4 linked regions of the Nothobranchius furzeri genome follow. Each later gene encodes a partner of the first gene's protein in a complex. Links are inferred from orthologs where the notes say so. Each region holds a gene or a part of one and is shown in the gene's direction. Other genes may lie near its edges.

The links.
Region 2: ppp4r3b (region 1) and ppp4r4 share a complex: the UniProt entries of both Homo sapiens proteins name them as parts of the PP4 complex. The link is inferred for Nothobranchius furzeri from reciprocal best matches to the Homo sapiens genes PPP4R3B and PPP4R4.
Region 3: ppp4r3b (region 1) and ppp4r1l share a complex: the UniProt entries of both Homo sapiens proteins name them as parts of the PP4 complex. The link is inferred for Nothobranchius furzeri from reciprocal best matches to the Homo sapiens genes PPP4R3B and PPP4R1.
Region 4: ppp4r3b (region 1) and serine/threonine-protein phosphatase 4 catalytic subunit B share a complex: the UniProt entries of both Homo sapiens proteins name them as parts of the PP4 complex. The link is inferred for Nothobranchius furzeri from reciprocal best matches to the Homo sapiens genes PPP4R3B and PPP4C.

What each region holds. Positions count from the first base shown.
Region 1 is NC_091752.1:26,257,797-26,262,636, reverse strand, and holds the start of ppp4r3b (serine/threonine-protein phosphatase 4 regulatory subunit 3B), read left to right. Parts: upstream 1-1,842; 5' UTR 1,843-2,074; coding exon 2,075-2,216; intron 2,217-2,718; coding exon 2,719-2,774; intron 2,775-2,888; coding exon 2,889-2,987; intron 2,988-3,064; coding exon 3,065-3,688; intron 3,689-4,839; coding exon 4,840-4,840. Other genes in the region: pnpt1 (polyribonucleotide nucleotidyltransferase 1, mitochondrial), read left to right, coding at 581-636, 769-847, 964-1,011, 1,092-1,241. UniProt on the Homo sapiens protein: Regulatory subunit of serine/threonine-protein phosphatase 4 (PP4). May regulate the activity of PPP4C at centrosomal microtubule organizing centers.
Region 2 is NC_091742.1:16,616,199-16,619,293, reverse strand, and holds part of ppp4r4 (serine/threonine-protein phosphatase 4 regulatory subunit 4), read left to right. Parts: intron 1-1,767; coding exon 1,768-1,858; intron 1,859-1,970; coding exon 1,971-2,032; intron 2,033-2,249; coding exon 2,250-2,700; intron 2,701-3,095. UniProt on the Homo sapiens protein: Putative regulatory subunit of serine/threonine-protein phosphatase 4.
Region 3 is NC_091743.1:58,789,479-58,792,841, forward strand, and holds part of ppp4r1l (serine/threonine-protein phosphatase 4 regulatory subunit 1), read left to right. Parts: coding exon 1-291; intron 292-357; coding exon 358-677; intron 678-1,163; coding exon 1,164-1,250; intron 1,251-1,329; coding exon 1,330-1,515; intron 1,516-1,695; coding exon 1,696-1,857; intron 1,858-2,399; coding exon 2,400-2,500; intron 2,501-2,609; coding exon 2,610-2,730; intron 2,731-2,903; coding exon 2,904-3,038; intron 3,039-3,180; coding exon 3,181-3,322; intron 3,323-3,363. UniProt on the Homo sapiens protein: Regulatory subunit of serine/threonine-protein phosphatase 4. May play a role in regulation of cell division in renal glomeruli. The PPP4C-PPP4R1 PP4 complex may play a role in dephosphorylation and regulation of HDAC3.
Region 4 is NC_091758.1:11,558,933-11,563,737, forward strand, and holds the start of serine/threonine-protein phosphatase 4 catalytic subunit B, read left to right. Parts: upstream 1-1,547; 5' UTR 1,548-1,738; intron 1,739-2,222; 5' UTR 2,223-2,364; coding exon 2,365-2,474; intron 2,475-2,698; coding exon 2,699-2,750; intron 2,751-2,826; coding exon 2,827-2,877; intron 2,878-4,805. UniProt on the Homo sapiens protein: Protein phosphatase that is involved in many processes such as microtubule organization at centrosomes, maturation of spliceosomal snRNPs, apoptosis, DNA repair, tumor necrosis factor (TNF)-alpha signaling, activation of c-Jun N-terminal kinase MAPK8, regulation of histone acetylation, DNA damage checkpoint signaling, NF-kappa-B activation and cell migration.

The sequences.
Region 1 (4,840 bases):
TTCCGTCAGTGCACCCCAGGGCAGCTGTGGCTACATTGTAGCTTATCAACACAAGCGTGCGAATGTGAGTGTGCTTGGGTGGATGACTGTGTTGTAAAGTGCCTTGGTGGGTTGTAGAACCCTAAAAGGTGCTATATCAAGGACAGCATTTTGGGCATTTGAAAAACCTGACAGATCCACGTCATATTGTAAATTAACATGCATGACCTCACCCATCTTGGCTCACGACGAGGAAGGCTGTTGTTGATTTAGCGTCCTGGAAACGGCGAGAATGTCACTGCTGGTAGAAGCTAATCGTTAGCATCAGCAACTCCACAACATGGCAGAACTGCTTCAGGCTTGTGTTATTTGTGGAGATAAAACATCAACGTTGCAAAGCAAATAGAGTCAGTGGTAGAGTCGCGTTGCTGTTAGCCAATCAGAGGCCAGATTTTTCATATCATTACTAATAATGAGTCAGACTCCAAATCCTGCTGTTTTCTGCTGTCTTTTGTTTTCCTTCATATTCATAAATTCAGGGCGGTACCATCCACTCATGGATTTTATGTTTATTATATATTTATTTTCCATTCATTTGTAGCAAGAACAGCAGCTGGAGTTTGGTGCTGTCTACACTGCCACCATCACAGAAATAAGGTAAGGAAATAAAATCAGAATGGTTATTATGAATTACATTAGTGGGTAAGTGGATCACTGGACATTGATCTGTGGAGTATTAAAATAATTTGGGTTCATTTGCCCACTAAGAGTTTTTCTCCTCTGCTTTAGGGATATTGGAGTGATGGTGAAACTTTATCCCAACATGAGTCCAGTGCTACTGCACAACTCCCAGCTGGACCATAAACGGGTCTGTATTTGTGAGCCTTTGTTTAGTCGATTTAGGTTTTGTGTGTAAAAAACAAAACAAAAATAAAACTAAAATTCGAGACTCTTCAAATATAAATATATATTTTTTGCACTTAGATCAAACATCCAAGTGCTTTGGGCTTAGAAGTGGGACAGGAGATACAGGTATGCATCATTAACTACGACTGGTTAAAAGTAGAAATCGTGTGTCCATTTTGGGTTGATCACGTTTCATTTGTGCTCAGGTCAAGTACTTTGGACGGGATCCAACAGATGGAAGGATGAGGCTTTCGCGAAAGGTGCTCCAGTCTCCTGCTGCAACTGTGGTTAAAACCCTGAGTGAGAAACAGAGCATCTCTATGGGCAACAGCAACAGGACCGAAATGGACGTATGACACCATGCTTCAGCAGACGGGATTGAAACTGTCGAGATATTTTGAGAAAAGGAACATATGGACATATTTACTGAAGGAAATAACATGAGGTGCTTGTTTATTAACTCTAAATAGCTACTGAGTTCTGGTACTCTTTACTGAAACATCCTCTAATAAATCTGCCTCAGCCACATCTGATTGAGATACAGATGATGTTGATTCTAATGTTTTTTTTTTTCCGACATTGCCTTTTATGTTTTTTACGTCACTTGAAACAACAAGTCTGTGTTTCTGTTGGTCACACCTGGTGTGATAATACAGGTGTGAGTGGATGGACGTATGAGTTGTGCTCAAGAGACTCATGGTGTATTTATAGTAAATGTGATATGTGTATTTACCAATATTAATCATTTTTATAGCTAAAACTCATTTTCGTAAATAAAATACACAAAATAATCCAGACGGTTACTAATATTTTTACTTTCGATAGAAGGCGCTGTGTTGTACTGCTAGTAAATTAAGCCCCGCCTACCCCACGGCGGTTAGTGTTTGACAACTACGAAGAAAAAGATCGGATTACAAGATGGTGGTCTGTGGACGCTAGCAGGCAGGCCGTTGGAGTTGTGTGCTCTTTTAATTTCACTGTTTGGTTGTCAGGCCTCCTTGCTTTATTCCGTAGACGAAATATGTTGAAGTAGCCACAAATATTTATAACAGCAGTTGCAAGTTCCAATTAGACGTGCATGTTTTATAACATGCAGATGGGAAAAAAGTTAAAAGGTCGAGGAAAACACTAGACGGCGTGAGGAGATAGGCTGTTAGCATCCAGCTAGCTAGCTCCGACTCGATTAGCCATGTCGGACACTCGGCGGCGTGTTAAAGTGTACACCCTGAACGAAGACAGACAATGGGACGATCGAGGCACCGGACACGTCTCGTCTACATTCGTGGAGCGACTAAAAGGGATTTCACTCTTAGTTCGAGCTGAATCGGACGGTAGGTTCTCCGTTAGCATAGCCGCATTCACGCTACGTTGGCTATAACTTTAGCATGCTATCTCCTTGTCCTCAGAACGCCTTGGTTCATATTTTGTTTTGAGGGGCGTCATATGTTATGTACGTTTATTCTTACTTTTGTGGCTCACCGTATTCGACAGTTAAAATTCAAAGCAACAACCTTGTCCTATACAAGTTTTTTTTAAATAGCAATGCTTCACATGCTCATTTGTTTAAAACACGACATCACGATCACGCACGGGGGCTCCTCGAAGTCTCACGGTACACGTTCAAACTTGGAGTTGCTCATATTTGGCTCCAGCACACATTTAAATACAGATTATCTTAAGTTACTTGTCAAATGTGGATTTTGGTTAACATTAAGTGTATATTTTCAAAGTTATGTCCAGTTTAGTGTTGTTAGTAATTACTTGACCACGTTTTGCTGTTAATATAGCAATCATATGTACTGTTTATATAATCGACTATCATCACAATTTTAGGATCGTTGCTGTTGGAGTCGAAGATAAGTCCAAATACCGCATATCAGAAACAACAGGTAGTAAGCCTTCACGACACGTGGTATCTTGATCTGTGTGAATGAAAACTTCTGATTGCCATAACCAGCCGAGACTCTTAAACCAAAACTGGATGTTTGTTTCTCTCTCTGTAGGACACACTGATTGTCTGGTCTGAAGCAGATAATTATGATCTTGCCTTAAGTTTCCAGGAAAAGGCTGGTTGTGATGAGATTTGGGAGAAAATTTGTCAGGTATCGTTCAGCCAGCAAAGTTGATGAATGTCATCCTCTCTGAATTGCTATTGACATAACAATCATTTATAACTCAGGTTCAAGGTAAGGACCCTGCTCTGGACATCACCCAGGACCCAATTGATGAGTCAGAGGAAGACCACTTTGAGGAGATCCCGGAGACAACGCATCTGGTTGAGCTGCCTCCTTGTGAGTTAAGTCGACTGGAGGAAATAGCTGATCTGGTTACCTCTGTCTTGTCGTCGCCTATCCGAAGAGAAAAACTTGCCCTGGCACTGATGAGTGAGGGCTACATCAAGAAACTGCTGGGTCTCTTCAGAGTATGTGAGGATCTGGAGAACAGAGAAGGTCTGCATCACCTCTATGAGATTGTGCGAGGTGTCTTGTTCCTCAACAAAGCAGCTCTATTTGAGATTATGTTCTCCGACGACTGTATCATGGATGTAGTGGGTTGCCTGGAGTACGACCCGGCCCTGGTTCAGCCTAAACGACACAGGGAATTCTTGACCAAGACGGCAAAGTTTAAGGAGGTGATCCCTATCACAGACTCTGAGCTGCGGCAGAAAATCCACCAGACATACCGTGTTCAGTACATCCAGGACATAATCCTGCCCACACCATCCGTCTTTGAGGAAAACTTCCTATCCACACTCACGTCCTTCATCTACTTCAACAAAGTGGAAATAGTCAGTATGTTGCAGGTAAGGATTCAAAACGCTCAAAATGAATTAAATTCTGACATTTCTAAAGTTTGTGTGGTGTATTACTGATTATGTATGATGTTTAATAACATTACATCTTAATTAGTTCCTTTAGTTTTCATTGTTTTTAGATAATTTAGTAGGGATGCAACGATACCCCTTTTTTCCAAACCGATACGATACCGATACTTGGATCTGAGTACTCGCCGATACCGATTACCGATACTTCTACCACACAAACAAAATGCAATGGTTTGGAATACAGATTTTATTTTCTTCTCTGCTTTCAACAGGAAAAGACTGTGAGGTAGATAAAAAGTAAAATATATGAATAGAAGTCATCACAAAACTAAAATATTAGGTGAACAGAAATGACTAGTTACAGTGAAGCCATTTTCAAGCAACTGCATTGGTATCGGTTAACTTTACCCCAATACTGGAATCTGTATCGGCACCGGTGCATCCCTATCATTTAGTAAACTCATCTTTCCTGTACTGAAAAATTGGATTTTATAGGGGATGATAAATTAAATGTGAACATCTGAGAAGACCGTTTTTGTTGTGACTCAGTTTGTCTTTTAAAAACAGATCTGTTAAGATTTGCGGACAGTTGGATGTGTTTTGTGATTGTTCTGGCATGACTCTTGAGTGAGGGATGTGTTGCAGACAATGTCTCATTTTCTAAATAATTTAACAATTTCAGAGTTCTGTATTAAATTAAGGTAAACAATTGCTTCTGTTCAAGTGTTTAAAAAAGATATTTTGTGTTTAAATGGTTTACCCTTTGATATAAAAATCTTGTATTTGTGCAGCTTCAGTGTTTAATGTGAATAAACACCGAAATGCTGTGAATGATTTAAAGTGACGCACAGTGACATCAGAGATTTCTGCTGCTGGAAATACGGCAAAGCAAATGTAAACAAAAGGAGCAGTAGTAAAAGGGAAACATGAATTTCTGTTAGTTTCTTCCAACTGTTCTACAGGTGAGCGGAAACAGTTCTAAAGATTGTACAGAATGATCATGGTAAGCTCAAATAATCGTCACGGGATTAGGTTTATTTTTTATCCTCAGTTTGAATTTATTATAAGTCTTTAACTTTTTCATTACTTGGTAATCTTGTGTGCTAACACACATTCTGACTCTGCTGCAGG
Region 2 (3,095 bases), on another chromosome or scaffold:
ATGATGATGGTGATGACGACTGTGATGACTATGGTGATGGTGACGATGATGGTGGTGACGATGATGTCGGTGATGATGATGATGATGATGGTGACGATGATGATGATGATGACGATAATGGTGGTGATGGTGATGATGACGATGATGATGATGATGATGGTGACGACTGTGATGACTATGGTGATGGTGACGATGATGGTGGTGACGATGATGGTGGTGATGATGATGGTGGTGGTGGTGATGATGATGATGGTCACGACGATGATGGTGATAGTGGTGGTGGTGATGATGATAATGATGATGAGATAATGACGATGATGGTGATGATGATGATGACGATCATGACAACGGTGGTGATGATGATGATGGTGGTGATGATGGTGGTGGTGATGATGATGATGATAATGGTGGTGATGATGGTGGTGATTGTGATGATGATGACGATCATGATGATGGTGGTGGTGATGGTGACGATGATGATGATGATAATGATGATGACGATGGTGGTGATGATGACGATCATGATGACGATGGTGGTGGTGATGATGGTGGTGATTGTGATGATGATGACGATCATGATGATGGTGGTGGTGATGGTGACGATGATGATGATGACGATCATGATGACGATGGTGGTGGTGGTGGTGATGATGATGACGATGGTGATGATGATGGTGGTGGTGGTGGTGATGATAATGATGATGGCGATAATGATGACGATTGGTGGTGGTGATGATGATGATGATGATGACGATAATGATGACGATGGTGGTGATGATGATGAGGATGATGATGACGATGGTGGTGGTGGTGGTGGTGATTATGATGACGATGGTGAAGATGGTGATGATGATGATGGTGGTGATGGTGGTGGTGATGGTGGTGGTGATGATGACGATGGTGATGATGGTGATGGTGGTGGTGATGATGATGATGGTGGTGATGGTGGTGGTGATGGTGGTGGTGATGATGACGATGGTGATGATGGTGATGGTGGTGGTGATGATGATGATGGTGGTGATGGTGGTGGTGGTGGTGGTGATGATGATGGTGATGGTGGTGGTGATGATGATGGTGATGGTGGTGGTGATGATGATGATGGTGGTGGTGGTGATGATGATGGTGGTGGTGGTGGTGTTGATGAGGATGATGATGGCGATCATGATGACAATGTTGGTGGTGGTGGTGGTGGTGATGATGATGACGATGGTGGTGGTGGTGATGATTATGGTGGTGGTGATGATGATGACGATGGTGGTGGTGGTGATGATTATGGTGGTGGTGGTGATGATGATGATGGTGGTGATGGTGGTGGTGGTGGTGGTGATGATGATGGTGATGGTGGTGGTGATGATGATGGTGATGGTGGTGGTGATGATGATGATGGTGGTGGTGGTGGTGGTGTTAATGAGGATGATGATGGCGATCATGATGACAATGTTGGTGGTGGTGGTGGTGGTGATGATGATGACGATGGTGGTGGTGGTGATGATTATGGTGGTGGTGATGATGGTGACGATGGTGATGATGGTGGTGGTGATGGTGGTGATGACGATGATGATGATGATGACGATCATGATGACACTGGTGGTGGTGGTGATGATGACGATGGTGGTGGTGGTGATGATTATGGTGGTGGTGATGATGGTGATGATGGTGATAATGTACATGATGATTATGGCGGTGGTGGTGGTGGTGGTGATGTTAATGATGATGATGGTGGTAATGAAGATGGTAAACATAGTTACCAGGGCTTCTTTTGTGCAGGTAAAGAGATGAGAAGAAGCAAACTGTCACGCAGTCGGTCCCTCAGTAGCCAGCCTCCAACGTCTAAACCTGTCCACTCAGAGAAATCTCAGTAAGAACCCTAAACCCACCAGCAGGTTTATCTTGTGTCTGTTTGTCCATTTTGGTTTTAAACAACTGAGCAGGTTTTTTTTTTTACTTTTCTTTTTTTTTCTGTGTTTCAGGAAGGTCAAAGATCTGGGATGCTCCTCTGGACTAGGAAAGTCCTCCACGATGTCCACCAAAGGTAGCTACACAGCTGTTAAAGTTCAATTCTCTTCCTCACTCACTCACTCACTCACTCACTCACTCACTCACTCACACACACACACACACATCCAAACACAGCGGTGGCAGTAGTGTATCATGGTCTGTCTGAAACAGTAGAGTAAAATCGGAATGAGCCGACTGTTCCAACATAGCCCATGTGACTGTCTCTACTCTTACATCACTTCCTGTTTCAGATGACTCTGTGAGGGCCGCCCACTTCACTTTGACAACCCAGTCCACCTCCTCCATGCCTGTTCTGATCTGCAGCAACACTACAAGCCTTCTGGACAGAGCCAGTATCTTGGACCAGAAAGACCACAGAATCCGAACACTAGACCACAGAACTAGTAATATGGACCACAGAAACAATATGATGGAGTATAGAACCAGTAACTTGGACCAAAGAGACTTCAGAACCAGTATCTTGGACCAAAGAGACTTCAGAACCAGTAACTTGGACCAAAGAGACTTCAGAACCAGTATCTTGGACCAAAGAGAGCACAGGACCAGTACCTTAGACAAGAGAGACTTCAGAACCAGTATCTCGGACCAGAGAGAACACAGAACCAGTACCTTGGGGCAGCGTAGTAAAACAATGGACCATGGCTATGGGACGAGTGACTCTCAGTCCAAGAAGTTGTCCATGTGAGTTCTGGTTTAATTTTCTCCTGTGGCTGGTTTGTCTGGGTCAGGTCTTCTGGGTGTGAGCTTCTGGTGTCAGGACCCTTCTTAACCTGTTATTGGCCTGGGATTTGGATTGTTAGGGTTAGGCTTTGAGATCTGGTGATTGAAGCCATTTGTTTTGTCCCTGTGAGGGAGCAAGTGTAAAAGCAGGAGTCAGTTAGAAAAACAGGGTTTTTATTACAATCCAAAAAAGGATTGCTCTAAAAGAGACACCCCTTTAACAACACACCCTAACTCAGAGTAAATCACACTTCTGTGATATCAAACTGTCCAATCGATAGAAGTTCATACACCAACTGGCTTGGTCTATATTTAATCAAAAAGATTAATATTTAATTTAAGAGATTTAAATTAAT
Region 3 (3,363 bases), on another chromosome or scaffold:
ACGGCCCCACAGCCACCAACAACATCAAGAACACAAAAGAACACGAGCAGACAGACGAGAACTTTAATTCCTTCAACTATTGGAGGCCTCCTTTACCCGACATCAGCGAGGAGCTGGAGATGCTAAATTGTGAGAAATCGGAGGAAGTCACAGAAAAGGAGGAAACGGAAGAGGAGGAGCACCAGGAAAGTAGTTCAGATTCTAAACCCAGCCCCGGAAAAGCTACCAGCGATCAAATCCAAAAGGTCTTGGACTGTTTGACGCCTCACATTGCTGATCCCGATGTACAAGGTGGGTAGATAGGAATGGAGATTTTACTGGTGTGTAGATTTAACTGAGTGTGTATTTCACCTCCAGTTCAAGTCCAAGTCTTGTCAGCAGCTCTGAAGGCGGCCCAGCTCGACAGCCCGTCTGACGGCAGCCCGACAGAAACCAGCCCTACCGAGGAGCCGCCTGAAGACAGCCCTGAGGGCCTATCAGGGGACGGCATTTCTATTGATCTACAGCCGGAGATGGAGGACGCTAGCACAGACCAAGAAGAAACAATGGAAATTTCTCCAGCTGCAGAAACGTGTCCGGTCCAGGAGCAAGAAAATGAAGAGACTCAAACTGAACCTCTGGAGAAGCAGGAGGAGTCTCCACCCAACTCTCCTGTTCTGGGGCCTCAGATACTACGGGTACATATCCATAAAAACATGGCCATGAAATGATCGTGGAGACGTGCGCAGCCTCACTAACTATGGCAGGAGCACATGCACATCTACGGTTATCACTCTTAGGGAAACTGGTAAAGGTGTAGAAACTATTATACACCACAGACGCATCCATTTGTGCACAGTTGCATAATATATTTAATCAAATGCAATATAAAGCAGAGAACAACTTCAACAACAGCAGAGGATGTTCTGGCCCCAAACCATGATTGTCAGCTGTTTTAGGTTTCCAAGGGCGACCCTGTTTTAACGGCTCAGAGCTGCATCGCAGTGTTTATTATTTTTTCTGTTGATTAGATTTTTCATGCAATAGTTTGGAGTCTGTGGCAGCTTTGTTAAACCGTTTGTTAAAACTATTTTAGTTGTTTTCATGGATGATTTGAGATATTTGTGGTTTTCGCTTGTACTTTCCTGCTCTTTTACGTTTTTGTGGGTTCTCATTTTCCTCAGGAGTCTAGCTTAATTGAAAATGTGGAGGAGGAGGAAAAGGACGCCTGTCTTCACAGCCCAACGTCAGAGGATAAGCCCAAAATCCAGGTCGGTCATGATAAACGAATCCCACGATCATTATGGATTCCTCGTGTTTAATCATCTAACTTGGACTTCCTGTCTGCAGAATGTCATCCCTCAGCAGCTGTTGGATCAGTACCTCTCTATGACGGACCCCGCCCGGGCCCAGACGGTGGACACGGAGATAGCCAAACACTGTGCCTTCAGCCTTCCGGGTGTGGCGCTCACTCTGGGCCGACAGAATTGGCACTGCCTAAAGGACACATATGAAACCCTCGCCACGGACGTGCAGGTAGGTATCAGGAAATCACAAGTGTAATGATGTCTGGTGTTTGGGCCTTTGTAGCTTTGAAGCTCATCAGAAAACAGGATCTGTAGTGGTTCATGCTTAAGGTCACCACAGACACTCCACTTTGTGTTGGATTATTAGCACTGGCTTTATGGTTTTAATTCCCCACATTTTCCCTCTCAGTGGAAGGTGCGGCGAACGTTGGCTTTCTCCATCCATGAGCTGGCGGTTATCCTGGGGGACCAGCTGACTGCAGCTGATCTGGTTCCCATCTTCAACGGCTTCCTCAAAGACCTAGATGAGGTTCGCATCGGCGTGCTCAAGCACCTGTACGACTTCCTGAAGGTAAGATCTCCACTGCGCCATAACGAGAGCAAACCTGCCAACCTGTACGCATTTTGCGTCGCCAGTATGCAATTTGGCATCTATTTACGCTGGTACGACTCACCCATTTAAACTTCGCACAAAGCTGCGGATACGTGAGTTGAGTTCTGTGGCAAATATGTACGTGTGGTACTCGTGTCTGACAACACGACTCAGTGGCGTGGTGAAGAAGTTTAAGCCAATCATCGTAGAAAAGCAGAGTAAGCCTATCCTGCCTAACCAGTAGCCTAAAACCCCCCTCCTCCCTGCCTCGTTCCTCCTCTCTCCCACTGGTTCGCCACTCGCTGCTGTTCTGGTAAGGTAAAGTGTGTGTGTGCGTGTGTGTGTGTGTGTGAAATTTTCCATCCAGTGAATGGGGAGATTACAGCGTGAAAAGCAATGGAGTTGTAAAAGTCTGCGAAAAACGCCGCACAGGTGGTACTCAAAAAATGTTTGACAAGGTTGGCAGGTCTGCGAGAGAGGAGGTTGTTTGCTGTTGATAACGGAGCAGGTTTGTGTCGCAGCTGCTGCACGCAGACAAAAGGAGAGAGTATCTGTACCAGCTGCAGGAGTTCATGGTGACGGACAACAGTCGAAACTGGAGATTCAGATATGAGCTGGCAGAGTAAGTGTCTCTGAGGGAGAGAGGATCTTCACTAGGAGTGGACAGATATATCAGTCGGCCGGTATGTCCCCGTGCATTCACCGTGTGCCTCACTGGCTTTGTCCTCTAGGCAGCTGATCTTGATCATTGAGCTGTACAGCCACTACGATGTGTATGACTACCTCAGACAGATCGCCCTCACCCTCTGCTCTGACAAGGTCTCAGAGGTCAGGTGGATCTCCTACAAACTGGTACGTTTTACTGCCGGCTGCGCAAACTGACCTGTGGAGGAAAAATGCAAGCAGCTTGTGAACTTTTGCCCAACAGAATTAGGTTCTAAATACTGGTGTTTGTTTTTAATGAAACCGTGTAAATGAACACTGTGTAGATGGAGCGAGTGTGTCATCACTTCCTCTGCTCTCAGGTGGTGGAGATCCTCCAGAAACTTTATGCATGTGGTGCTGACGACCTTGGCCTGAATTTCATCAACGAGCTCACCGTCAGGTTTTGCCACTGTCCCAAGTGGGTGGGGAGGCAGGCCTTTGCTTTCATCTGCCAGGTCTGTGGATCTAATGGGAGAAGTGGGGAAGCACCATTTTCTCTGACTGATCTGACAAATGTTCTCCTGTGGTTACAATAGTTGACCCCCCCCCCCCTCCACTAGTTGTCTGAGTTTGATAGTTTTGTGGTTCTCCCTGCAGGCCGTGGTTGAGGAGGACTGCATGCCCATGGAGCAGTTCAGCCAGCATCTGTTGCCCAGCCTCCTCAGCCTCTCCTCTGATCCGGTGGCTAACGTCCGAGTTTTGGTGGCCAAGGCTTTACGACAGAGCGTCATGGAGAAAGGTGATCTATAAATAGACCCGGTGTGGGACATGCAGCTTGTA
Region 4 (4,805 bases), on another chromosome or scaffold:
GGTGGTCAATTCATTTTCGCAGATTAGTTCAAAGTATAATCTCCCTAATTTACATTTTTTTTCGCTACCTTCAAGTCAGACACTGTGTTAGGGAATGGTGCCCAAATCTTGAACCCTCTTCCACCACACACACCCTTATTAAGAATTTTTTGCTTCCTCCAAACTCCAAGCGGATTGTGTCAAAGTTTGTTAGCTGCTTTGCTGCCACAGTTTCCTCAGACTTTCATAGAGAGGCTTGGGCAGTGGACTTGAACTGTGAGGCGTCTGACGCACTCTGGGAAGGAGCATTATCTCAGATTACCCGCTGTTCCGTCAACTCTCGCCTTAGATTGATCCAGTTTACGGTTCTACACAGGCTGCATTACTCTAAAATAAAATTGAACAAAATGTTCCCATCTGCGTCTACCGAGTGTGACAGATGCCATATAGCAGAAGGTTCGTTAGCACATTTATTCTGGTTCTGTCCTTCATTGAGCAGATTCTGGTCTGCAATCTTTAAATGTTGTTCAGATGTTTATGGTAGTGACATTCAGCCCACCCCCACACTGGCAATTCTTGGATGTCCTTCGCTGGCTCCTCGGCTGCCACAGCACATGGGGACCGCTCTACAGTTAGGGATGGTTGTGGCTTAAAAACTCATTCTTCTGAAATGGAAATCTACAACCCCACCTTCTTTTGGACATTGGCTCACAGAGATGCTACATGTCATTCAACTGGAATTGCTACATTCACACAAGACTGGCTCTCGCAGCAAGCTTGAGGAGGGCTGGAGACCTTTCCTAACCCACTACAAGGTTATCTAGCTGGTGAAATGGTTTGGATTAATGACTGGTGCTGAAACATACCTAATATAATGTTGCTCTATCATCTGTAAATGTGCTTAATAGTAACTGTTTTATATACCTTTCTGTTTACAGTGTGGTCTGGCAGCCGTAAACGTATGTTTGTTTATATGGCTTGACTAAAAACCTGAAAAACAAAATATTATATAAAAAAAAAACCTGGTTGTTTATTGGAAGAGATCGTGAACACCTGCTGGTCTTTTTTTTCCCATGAAATTACGGTATATTTTTGTGTATTTGTTATTGATGTTTTATGTTAAAAAATTATCTAAATTGAAAGATTATTATGATTATTATTTATGAATTAAAGAATTATAAAAATGTAACGTTTCAGTTCATGAACAAACTCAAAACCTGAGTTTTGAATAAATAGATAGATAATCTATTTAAGGGTAGAGGTGAGCGCTGATGAGAGAATGATGTACAGCTGGAGAAGGAACACAATAAACATCTTTTGTGAAGAACCTGAAACTTGGTGCATACTTCCAGAAACATTACAAGCCAGACATCCCATCAAACGTTGACCTCATGGACTCATCGAGTTGTCTGAAACCAGGAGATGCTACCGCTCCCATTTCTTCCGCCTGTCGCTAGAAGTCGAGTGAAGAAGCAGCTGGAGGCTGAACAGGAACAAAAATGCAGGTCCTGGTGGCGTCAGCCCCATGCCTAGAATGTTTTAACACTGGTTTGGTCTAGATGCGTGGTTCGGTTTGGAGGCTGGAACCGGCGACAACACCGGAAGTGACACCAGGTCGTTGGCGTTGAGATCAGCGAGCAGGACTAGCTAGCTAAACCGGCAAAGGATACCGGGGGAGGGAGAGGAGCCGGTCAACGAAAGAATCATCAGCCCCACGGGATGAAACATTGATTGCCGTCTTCAAACACACTCTAACACGGTAAATGTAAATATTTTGGTTTTGTTAGGTTAGCGGTGACGTGTGGAACGAGTAACTACGTTTGTTGAGCTAGCTAACCCGCTAACAACTAGCTAAACGGAGCTAGGTAGCGCTGTCGCGGGAGTTAACCAGGTCCCGCGGTTGTTGAAGACTTTCCAGCGTTTTGGTGATCGTTTTTCATGTCCCCAGTTACATAAATGTTCGCTAAGGACTGGGAGGTTTATATGTGGTCTGTGGAACGAATTCCTGTGTTAATAAAGAATGTGTAGTGGGTGGTCTACCGTGACGTAAGCTAGCATGCTAAGCTACACCCCTAGGCCTCGCATTCCTAGAAAATGTCCTGTTTCTCAGTGTTCCGTGTTAATAAACGCTTTCTTAGTCAGGGAGAACCACATAAAACGTTAATCCACGTTTATCTCTGCGAATTCGACCATAATTGCTGTAACGTGTGACCGTTTGTTAAAACGTTTTTGTTCCTTTACAGATCATTATCACCATTACCAAAGCCACCCAGATTAAAGCAGCCGTCTCTGTAAAGGAAGGAGTCCTCTATTTTATTCCGTGGTTGCTCTGTGGGCTAGGAGCATACATCTGAGTGTGTGGACGGTGTGTAACTAGCTCCCTCTATGTGTGTGACAATGGGAGACATCAGTGACCTGGACCGACAGATAGAGCAGCTCAGGCGCTGTGAGCTCATCAAGGAAAATGAAGTCAAAGCATTGTGTGCCAAAGCCAGGTACTCCATCACGTTACTTCTGATGAAGATGTTGTTGTAATGTTAAATGGTAAACGACCGGATAGAGCACCTCCTAGAGTCCTGGAACAATGTTATGAATCACTGTTGTGGTTATCGTCCTTGCCCGTGCATACAATGATTGCTTGATGTTCAGTGTGACAGATGTATTTGTTTATAAAGTAGCTGTAAAAACACAATTTTCTAAAATGTGGGTGTATTTTCAGAGAAATCCTGGTTGAAGAAAGCAATGTCCAGAGAGTAGACTCTCCTGTCACGGTATCTCCTCGTTTGTCGAAAAATCTACTCACTCTTTTAAAAGTGGCCAAATGTATAAATGTTTTTGTTTTTGCAGGTGTGTGGCGATATTCACGGTCAATTCTATGACCTGAAAGAGCTCTTCAGAGTAAGTTTCTGTTCATTTTGGCTTACTGTTGTCAAAAACCGTAGTAATTTTTTATTTTGTTTGGTACCGGTGACACTGAACAGTGATAAATGTCCTAAAGCTTATACGTAAGAATTTTTTTGAGTGATATTCGTCCGTCCAAAAAAATGACGTGTATATTCAAGCATACCTTTAGACGCTCTGACATGCTGCACGGAGCGCCCCATATACTGTTAATGTTATTTTGTAGAATGGTGTTATGGTTTCACATTCATGATTTCTATCAGTAAGCAGGAGGAGCTGAGAGGTCAGAGCAGTCAGAGAGAAATTATAATACTGTTTTGCTGTCAGACTGTGGAAGTTCTTGCTGAACTTTATTCTGTTTCATGAACCAGGGTGACTTGAACTGATAAATTAAACTGGGAGGAAACTTTTGTCTACCTTTAGAGTTAGATGTTTGCTTGTTTCTTCTCCTCAGAGACACAATGGACACAAGAAGATCATAAAAGACAAAATGTCCCCAAAGGAAGGGTTAGTTAAGGGGAGGTAGCTGTTATTAAATAAAATCCTATAAATATAATTAAATTAAATCCTAATCCAGCCCACTGCCTCCTGCTTGTATTATTATTATTATTATTAGCAAATACAAAATAAACATCCATCATTTTATTGGCAGTTTATGGTTCTTTTAGTGTTTTCAGCAGCAGAGACTGGTTCCTGCTCCATCTCATGTATGAAATGAGACCACTGGGTTCAAACAAAATAACGAACCAGGCCAAACATGTTATTTATCTTATTTCATTGATAAATGTAGTTTTTAAAGCTCAATTTTTAAGTTGTTAATTTAAAAGCAAATATTTTAAATATGATTAAATACCTGCTAAAAAGCACTAGGATGTGGGAAATGACATCTGCTCACTAAAACTTCTCAGTGGGAGTCCCCCAGACCAACTCCCCCATCACCGGATATCCTCTCAGGGGGTGGCTACTTTCCTTGATGTGGAGTGGGTCTCATCTTCTTCACCCTTGACCCATTTTCATGTCTGAGTTAGAAGGCACAAAGGGATGCCCACATATTCCACAACCACCAAACCCAGTGTGTCTGATGGTGTGAGTGTAAAATTGAGATAAAGCACATGCATGCTCATTATTAATGCAGGCATGTGCTTTAATAATGAGCATGATATCGATATCGGAAGTAATTCGATTTTGGCTCAAAAATACTGTATCTGACTATATCGGACTGCGTCAGAAATCTCCGATATAAGCAGCTGGTTACGGTTCACAATTTTGCAACCAGTGGTTAAAAAAAAGCCCCCTTTTTCACACTTACTGTTATTAGCTCTTGCACACGTTCCATTGCTGTTTCTCACCAGTATCAGCTGATGGAGGGCTCTTGCGCCGTTCATGTCAGGGGGCACGGTAGGGTCGGGGAGGGGGGGCGGGCATGACTCTTAGCCTGGCGGGTGGCCAAGCTTATAAAGCGCTGGGGGAAACCCTGCAGAGTGAGGGACTCTGGTTGTGCATCAGAATTATATTAAAAGAGTAAAAAACACACTATAATTAACGCTTTTTCAGTCTACTGTTTTTAATATAAATCTGACTCACAACTAAGGTCCCACATTCGTTACAGTTATGAACAACAAGTAAAGAGGGAGTGGGATGACCGCTGGAATGTCCGTCAGATTCAAAACCGGTTGCACAGCAGCCCGTCTGACATCAAATACACAGCTCTGCTTGTGATTGCACGCTCATAAGTGCATTCTGGAGGCCACGGTTTTTAAAAACACCAGTTTTCTCGTATTTAACTAAACAATTACACAGACTGTTCCTTATTTACTAGACAAATAAGGAGTCAGACGCAGCAGGAGCGTTATGACCGACTGACCTGTTGCTGGCCTCGGTTCAGGTTGCTGCACCATGTTCTGCCGGGCTCGGTGCTTTGATGT